Neodiprion lecontei: one gene and its partner. The protein of the gene in region 1 interacts with the protein of each later gene in a pairwise test. Links are inferred from orthologs where the notes say so. Each region holds a gene or a part of one and is shown on either strand. Other genes may lie near its edges.

Region 1 (4,108 bases):
GTAAATTGGCCGAGGGAAAATTGACCACCGAATCACAGAACGAACAAAAGTGTGCAGGACTCGACGAGATGACGCGAGAAGAAAAACAAACGTTAGCGAATCTCAATGCCATGTGAGTAAAAACGCCAATTTTAAAATATCTTGTTCAGTTGCTACACGAGGGAAAAAAAAGGTCGATACGTTGTTTGAAATTTCAGGTACAAGGAAAAATTTCACTTTCCATTTGTCATATGTGCCCGGGAAAATAAAGTGGCAGCGATTCTGAGCGGCATAGAAAATCGTTTGAACAATTCTCCCGAGACGGAACTTGAGGTCGGGATTCAAGAAGTCAAAAAGATATGCAGGATTCGCCTGCTAGACGTCGTCTGGTCGGATGCTCGATAAATTTGTTAAAGTAATTTGTTCACTTGTCTCATACACATGGACAATTTTTACTTTTTCTGCTCGGAGATAATATGCGGATTAAAAATCTTACATACATGTAACGTGATTAATTGATATTTATTCTTAAGTATCTGCGTAAGCCACTGTTCGACAATTTGACGAAATTTTTTAATCATGCAAACGAGGATTCATTCGTAAATATCAAATAAAAAGAAATGCACAGATATTGAAAAAAGTATTCATTAATTGCCTTTGCCATTGAGCACAATAACAGAGTGCAAATTATGATATTACAAGCTTAAAAATAAGGATCCAATCGATGTTTAGAGAATTCCCAAACTCTTTTCAACCATCGCGTGAGGCTGACACATTTGTTCCCTAAATTCAGCGTTGTTGAAGATGTCTTCGAATCTGTGAATTGTAAAATTAATGTCGTCACTTGTTTGACGCAAGATAAAATTCCATTCAGATCCAAAGCTGCGTTGTTTTTGGTCCGTGATCCACAGTCATCAGAGCTCTTACCCAATTTCTTCGTCTCTACCAAGAATAACATCCCGCATGAGGCCAGAAGATGGAAGAAACGGTAGTCTCCCAACTTTGTCAGCGGCTTTGAGCTCCATGGCTAGACGCATTGGCGCGTGAAGTCCTTGCGTGTTTCTCAGCATAACCATATCCATGCGCAATTTATTCTGCACATACTGGAGATCAGAATAAAAAGATGTGAAAACTGTAAATGCCTTAGTATAAAGAAGCAATAGTCAGTCTGACTACGACTTACGTTTTGCTCGGAGGCTTGCAGAGGATGTGAAAATCCAAGATTTGCTCTTGTTGAAGATAGCCTGTGCAATTAAATTTCATTCAACTATTCTCCTTCTTTTTGAGAAAGTTGTTATACGGCGAAAAGCGAATACTGATGAAAATCAACCAATGGAACAATGACAAATATCTTTATACTTGATTGTGACTTACCCTGAAACAAGTGCATTTGGAACACCATGCGTGTCGTCGGGGATGCTGATTATATCTGCAGCCGAGGGCTTGGGTTTCACGGAAGGTAGACCAAAACTCTGAGCGGAAAAGTGTGAGCAGAAATTTGTTGATTTGCTGTTGAAGGATAATTTCGCCTAACCTAATTCGTAACTATGGACGTTTTAAATGACAGAAAAATGCGAATCGTGAAATGAAACAGGCGGCTAGATTTCTTATTAACGATATATTCACATAGGATCACAGCGTATTAAACAAAGCTTCAGTACTTATTCATCGATGTAGAAAAGATGCACTTGTCATTAATACGAGGGTAAACATAACCTTAATAAAAATATTGCAAATGTCACGTTCGAGAAATTCGACGAACTGGCCGAATAATCACGTGGAGAAAAATATTAAAGTATCGCAAATATATAATAAAATGATGGAGTTAGTCTTACCATATTGAATTACTTTTCAAACAGCTTCTGGGGTTGCTTATTTAATAATATTTCGTTCGCTCGTGACTTGACGAAGAGCCGCGGTGAAATATAACACGCTATACACGAGCACTGATCGCGAAATGAGCGGTAATGGTGTGAAGTTAGCTGAGTTGAGGCGTGAAAACGCCCTCTGGCAACAAACTTTTGAAACTCATTTGCCGAGATTCGTGGTGGTAAGTAAAAACCATTGTCAACAACTAACCTTTATTTACAATCACGAACTTAGCTGACAATGCAAATTACATTTGCCACATAATGAATTGCTACTATTCGAGATTTATATTTCTGACTATAAATACGATTTTCGTGTGACGTTCGCAAAATTGACGCGCTAAAGGCGCGATTGATTCGCGTGAATTAATCGCAGCTCTGGACAAAAAATTCACATACAAATGTACTGCACCTTAAATGACCAGAAAATAACTTTAGAATTTTTTTTACCTTCTATAGGTCGTTCCATTCATTAGACGCAGCTTTCGTACGTGCATCTTTTCAGACCTGACGTTGAAGAGGCATACGAGTTTCACTGGAAGAAAAATAGAACAGAACATTTATTCACGCATTTTAATTTTAATAACTGCAGATACGCAGGATATAGAATACTAATCACATAAGCGTGAGAACTGAATATGTGCTGCATATTTTTTCAAATCTAATGATCGGTTCATTTTTCATATTATGTTCGAAAATTGATTGATCGAATTACATAATTCAGATCACCATTAACAGATGTCAAAAGTTCTAAATCGATTCAAAACTTACTATATTTTTCACACCAAGAGATTATCCTGAAAGTTCGCAGTTGCTCACCGCCGACTCGGCACTACTCAAATTCGTCGTTTGTTTCTCGCAGGCTGGCCATCCCATCTTTAATTTCAAACTGTGAAAGGCCGTAAAATGATTGCATCGACGACGACGACGATTATATTTTGACAGGAAATGCCTCGTAAATAAAACGGAAACATAATCGTCGACATTTTTGTTTTGACAGGGAATTCCCCGTAAATAAAATGACAATGTAATCGTCGTCGTCATCGATGCAATCATTTTACGGCTTTTCACAGTTTGAAATTAAAGATGGGATGGCCAGCCTGCGATAAACAAACTGAAAACTTGAGTGGTGCGAACAGAGAGTTCGTGACCAACTGTGAACTTTCAAGATAATCTCTTGGCATACCTGATACATGAGTATACCAATAACATTCGGCAATTTGTAAATGGTCGCCTCTTGCGTTTTTGCATGACAATTATTTCGTAATGATAGAATGCGCAGTATAAATATAGAATTAGAACGTTGCAGGAAAATGCGATAAGATGAGGAATGAAGAATCGTATACTGACAATGAGTATCGACTTGCAGCAAGAAGTTCGGAAGAATCCAATTTTAGATAAAACTGTCACTTGCGGTGCCGTGGTTTGTCTATGCACGGTTCACTGCCCGAGTGCCGTACTCACTAGTAAGAAGTGGGCTAGCAATTGGCAGAGAGTCATTTAGTACAAGGCTTCACCGCACCGAGCGTACTTTATGTTCGGTTCTCTTAAATATTATTATTCATTAGATTCAAATAACAGACAGGGAGGGAGAGTCCTCTCAGAGAAATACTCACAAAGCAATCCTGAAACAAACTGGGATTTTCTATCACAGCTTCGTCGTTTTTCAGCCATATATCAAAGATACCCTGATTTACAGGCCGGTAGATAGAAAAAGGCGTTCTTGAGAAGCTTGAACACAACGAACTATTAAACGGCATCTTACATTTCAATCTTCCGTCAACCCTGTAGCAGTGCCAAAAAAACCCAAGGATCAACGGATACAGATGCTGGCACGTCATTCTTACGACGCCATTTTGTGTTTTCAGAGAGGACCGCGCATCAAGTGCGCTCGGTGCGGCAGAGTCGTCTACTAAATAACTCTGTGCCAATATCTGGCCAAACTCTATTTTACGGAGTTTCGTCTCTGCAGACGACGCGAGACGCTTACCGAATTGCCGTCGGCCATGGCGTCAGGCGTTTCACTTTGAAACAACGCGAGAGACTCAGCGTCGAGATTATAAAAGTACCTTGCATTAAATTTATTGACTGACTGGGTCAAATACTTTCAACCGGTAATGTAAGTTCTGTCCAGAATGACATCGAATTAATAATAGAACGCTTTGTTTGAAACGTCAAGAGAGACTTACATTCGGAGGACAACATTCTTAACTGACCTCAGAACGTAAATCATGTTGTAATTTCCCATTTAAGTTATTGTT
Region 2 (4,312 bases), on another chromosome or scaffold:
TGTAATGTGCTATACTTATCTTACCAAACCAAAATTGAGCTTTTGAAAACATCTTTTTTTTCCATATCTTTAAAACGTTTTGGGAGTTTAAACATGTGTTCTTCTCTGTTTCAGTTGGACGAGCTCCCAACCGTGGTGAAAGACTTGTCTCTATGTAAAATAACATGGGCTGAAGTAGCACAAAAGTATCCTAAGTTTGAACAACAAGAGAATGCAAAAGCATAGAAATCAGCATAATATTTAAAGTAAATTAGGCAATGCATGTTTTTTTAAAGTCATTATGCAAATGCAAATGAAATTATTAAGCCTTGGAAGCTGAATTAAGGGTTAGAAACAAAATTTTAACCTCGAGAATTGACCTTGAATGCTTGTTGGCATAATGGTATGTTATTTTTAAAATGCCTTGATAGAAATTTCATGAACTCCATAAATTATATTCATCAATAATTGAAGCAAGTGTTGACTCTCTTTCCATGCGAAATAAATTCTTAAGAATACAGCTGGAGATTGTGAGGTGAGTAAACGTGAAAAGTTGATTTCGTTTCCGTCATTTATTTACCAAAATTGAAGGAAAACCAGTTAAACAGATTACAGCTGAACAGCTAAAACAGTACACAGGGCACTTTAAGACATGTAATGTAATAAATGGTTGTAGAAATAATTTATTTATCCCTCGTAGAATTGAGGCAGCTTATTACCGAGGATGACTCGTCTTTCAACGCCTTCTTTAGTTATAACACCAAGTCTTACGACTCCACCACTGCTACCGTCACGTGACATGGCCAATGACAGTGCTGCAAAAAGAAATAAAGGAATGCAGTGATTGAAAGGAGATGAAACACACCAAACATGGGGCAAATAAGAAATGAATGACTTACTGTTGCTGACCAATTCTATTGTCTGATCCTTGGTCATGTTGGGCTTATAATGCGCATCTACGTAACCGTAAACGTAGCTTGAACCAGAGCCACCGATTGCAATTGGTTGGCGCACGCACATGCCTCCCAAAGGAATGCTGTAAACTTGACCACCTTTACGACGATCCCAGCCAGCTACCAAAATGCCTGCCATAAGGGAGTCTCGATAGTTGTAGCACAACTCACGAAATACATTTGCACTGGTCTCGACTAAAGGTGGTTCACCAAGTTCCATTCTGAGAATTCAAAACACGAATTTGATTATCACAGTGGAATTTTTAGCTTTAATTTCCTCAAATATTTATTGACAGGTCCCAGAGATGAAAAACATACAGCACGTGAGGTATTAACTAGGATCCCAAAGTGATTTTCCCAAGACTTACAAGTAGTTCTTTCTGGTCCACAAATAATTTGCAGATGTTTTGTTCAATTTCCCATATTCATAAAGTCATTTGAAACTTTGATTAAAATTCTTCAGCATATATAAACATATTGCAAATAATAAAACTATGTGGCTTCAACTTTTTTGTTTCATTTATAAAAGCTTAAAATTATTTGTGGATCATAACGAGTAAAATATTGATTATCCTTATCAAACAGTGCTACAAAACATTTGAAATGTATTAAACTCCAGTTTACTACTCTGAACCCCACGCTTTGCAGATAAATTAAGAATTATATATCTCCAGTAATTCGAAGATAATGACAATCTCGTTGATAGACTCACTGGTGGAAAGCCAGGTGGTACGAAACTATATCTGAGATAGCTTGGGTGTCTGCAGCAGAGCCTGAACGACAGCAATAAATGTGATCCGTCACTTTGGTGAGCTTGTCCGTGACTCGATTGGCGATGTAAGCGCTGAAAATCAGTCAGTGAAATGTTATTTTGTGCCTGAAGAGGACAAATAACCAAATTTTTTCAAGGTAAATTTACTTCAAGAATCACAGAAAATAAAAATGAGAAGTTTAGATCTGGGTTACATTGAACAACATACCCTGTAGTGGTTCGTGAATCAGCACCGATTACTACACCGCCTTCGAATTCACAAGCCATGATTGATGTCTGGAAAGAGGAATGAATAAATACCAATTTTTAAATGAGGAAAAACAAGATGTGTCGGTTGCTTGTTTTCGGAGGTGCAAGAAGACTTTTCTTAAGCGTTTACATCCATTGAAAATACTAATCATGGGTGATGGTCAAAGAATTACATGCACCGTCATTCTAACCTAAGTGAACGTCATATAATAATTTCAAACTTTCTGGTACGCTAAACGGCTGATTTTTAACTCGAAGGCGAACTTACGCCGGTACTGTGTTCGGCTGAAAGCCAATCCGGCACCATCGAATCCATGGTTTTTGATTGAAAGGGGGCTTCGACAAATGCCATACTCCCAAAATTTATCCGTAATATTTTAGCGACGTTTAATATGTTCTGTAATTCTACCGACAACTCCGTGGTCACTGTTGCGACGCCACGAAAAAAGTTACCTAGATAGATCTGAGAGTCGCTGTGTTATTACAATGACAATCTCATTCTCGCGTAACGGCGAAAACCAGACGACCAATGTCATGTAGTACTTCTACCTATCCGACCGAGCAAACTCACCCCTTTTCTTTTTATATTAAACAAATGAACGGAAAGAGTTCAAATTTCGACACTGCATCACTCTTTCATAGCGGATTTGAGGAAAGTAACTCATACCTGGAAATCGTAAAAAAAAGTGTGGTTTTTCTTGAAGTATTGTAACCCATGGTTAAGGATATGGAGGGATAAACTCCATACTTCACCGTTTAAAATTTTCGGCTGTTGATTTTGATTGCGATCACTTGTCAAACGTATTTATTTATATCGAGAAGAATATTTTACAAGAGATCAAGGTATGATGAAGTTTCAGAAATAGCTCAAGTCTAACATCCGAGCATTTCTCTTTCTACGAAGTATAAAAACTAATTATTATTTAGATTATAACCTCTTTTGTTAGCCAACTTTACCTGTATTGTGTATTTCTGATGGCAAATTGAATGAATTTGTGTATTTTTAGATGGAGCCCATGACTCTTGGATCTCCTGTTGGAAGTCCAGTCCAAACACCAGGAAGTCCAGGACCAAACTCCACATATCTACCTAATTTCCTATTGGGAGATGCTAATCCTGTAAGAATCTTAACAACTCGAAGTCATCTTGTAACGACATTTCAATTTTTTTTCTCAAAAAAATAATAATTCTGTAATTCTTCAGTTCTGTAAACTCCAAAATTTTTAAGAACGCAAACCTGTAACCTTGTTCATTCACTTGCAATTTATTTGTTTTGCTGTAAGCCTAGATCTCTGTTTGTATTTTACAAGTGCGAATTCTACCAAGCAGCATCTCACTTATTCGTATTTATTTTGTTCTGCTTCAGACCGCTAGATTAAATATAATGAGTCCCCAAGGTACCCCAAGAAATACACAATTCGGATCTATTACCAGTGGAGGCTTATCATCACCTAGTTCGAACTACTGCACTCCAGACTACCGTACGAATCGCCAAAAAGCCATGTTTGGTAATGTAACGAGCCCTAGTGGTCCACAAATCAGCTCACAGGGGCAATCCGGTGGTCCTCCAACTAGAGGACTTTTCGATACACTTGAAACTTCACAGTCAATGGTGCCGCAGAGTCCCAGTGTGGGTCAGAATGTTACTAGTAATCAGTCGAGAGTGTTGACGGGATCAAATTTGAACAACACTTTGTTCTTGGATAGTCCTGCAAACCTTTCTCTTAACGAACCGTTGCAAGGGCTTCAGCAATGGGTCACAGTCTTTGGTTTTCCTCCAAATGCTATAAACGCCGTATTGTCTCATATATCCAGCAGAGTCCGTGTAGTTGAGAAACGTGGCGCTCCTCACGCTCAGGGTAATTGGATCCATCTAAAATGTGCGTCAGAGCAAGATGCACACAGAGCTTTGGCGTGCAATGGCAACATTGTTTCAGGCTCTACAATGATAGGCGTTGTTCCTTGCACAGATGAGGGAGTAGTTTTGGGATCAGAAAAAGATAACCTTTCCAAATTGAGCAGTGGCACCAGGTGCTTTTCTACATCAGATAGAATAAATTTTTCATCACCTGATTATGCGAGTAGTTTACCACCTACTTCGCCAAGAATACAGAATGCCCGTCCTTTAGCGGTAGGCTATAACCAACATTTGAGCCCCCAAGCAGTTGTAATGCCTCAAAACGTGCCACAGAAGTCGACAGGGTTCTTCTCAAAAATTTATGAATACATTTGGTAGCTCGATGCAATTCCCCCATACTGCGTTTATTTCGCAACTCCATTCGGTTTTTACTCTTCAATCTGACGAATTTTAGTATAATTTTGTACGGTTGTTTTTTTGTTCGCATCAAGTGATAAATAT

What was found.
Region 2: the proteins of proteasome maturation protein (region 1) and proteasome subunit beta type-6 interact in binary tests that used the Homo sapiens proteins (3 or more experiments, as listed by UniProt). The link is inferred for Neodiprion lecontei from reciprocal best matches to the Homo sapiens genes POMP and PSMB6.

Annotation. Positions count from the first base shown.
Region 1 is NC_060265.1:6,325,547-6,329,654, reverse strand, and holds proteasome maturation protein, read right to left. Parts: upstream 1,973-4,108; 5' UTR 1,818-1,972; coding exon 1,815-1,817; intron 1,452-1,814; coding exon 1,354-1,451; intron 1,224-1,353; coding exon 1,163-1,223; intron 1,083-1,162; coding exon 907-1,082; intron 796-906; coding exon 708-795; 3' UTR 609-707; downstream 1-608. Other genes in the region: 2-oxo-4-hydroxy-4-carboxy-5-ureidoimidazoline decarboxylase, read left to right, coding at 1-112, 198-384. UniProt on the Homo sapiens protein: Molecular chaperone essential for the assembly of standard proteasomes and immunoproteasomes. Degraded after completion of proteasome maturation. Mediates the association of 20S preproteasome with the endoplasmic reticulum.
Region 2 is NC_060263.1:40,316,904-40,321,215, forward strand, and holds proteasome subunit beta type-6, read right to left. Parts: upstream 2,397-4,312; 5' UTR 2,306-2,396; coding exon 2,222-2,305; intron 1,981-2,221; coding exon 1,913-1,980; intron 1,777-1,912; coding exon 1,645-1,776; intron 1,350-1,644; exon of another isoform or gene 1,154-1,349; coding exon 879-1,153; exon of another isoform or gene 795-878; coding exon 667-794; 3' UTR 537-666; downstream 1-536. Other genes in the region: glycine--tRNA ligase, read left to right, coding at 115-225; nucleoporin Nup35, read left to right, coding at 2,961-3,071, 3,320-4,189. UniProt on the Homo sapiens protein: Component of the 20S core proteasome complex involved in the proteolytic degradation of most intracellular proteins. This complex plays numerous essential roles within the cell by associating with different regulatory particles.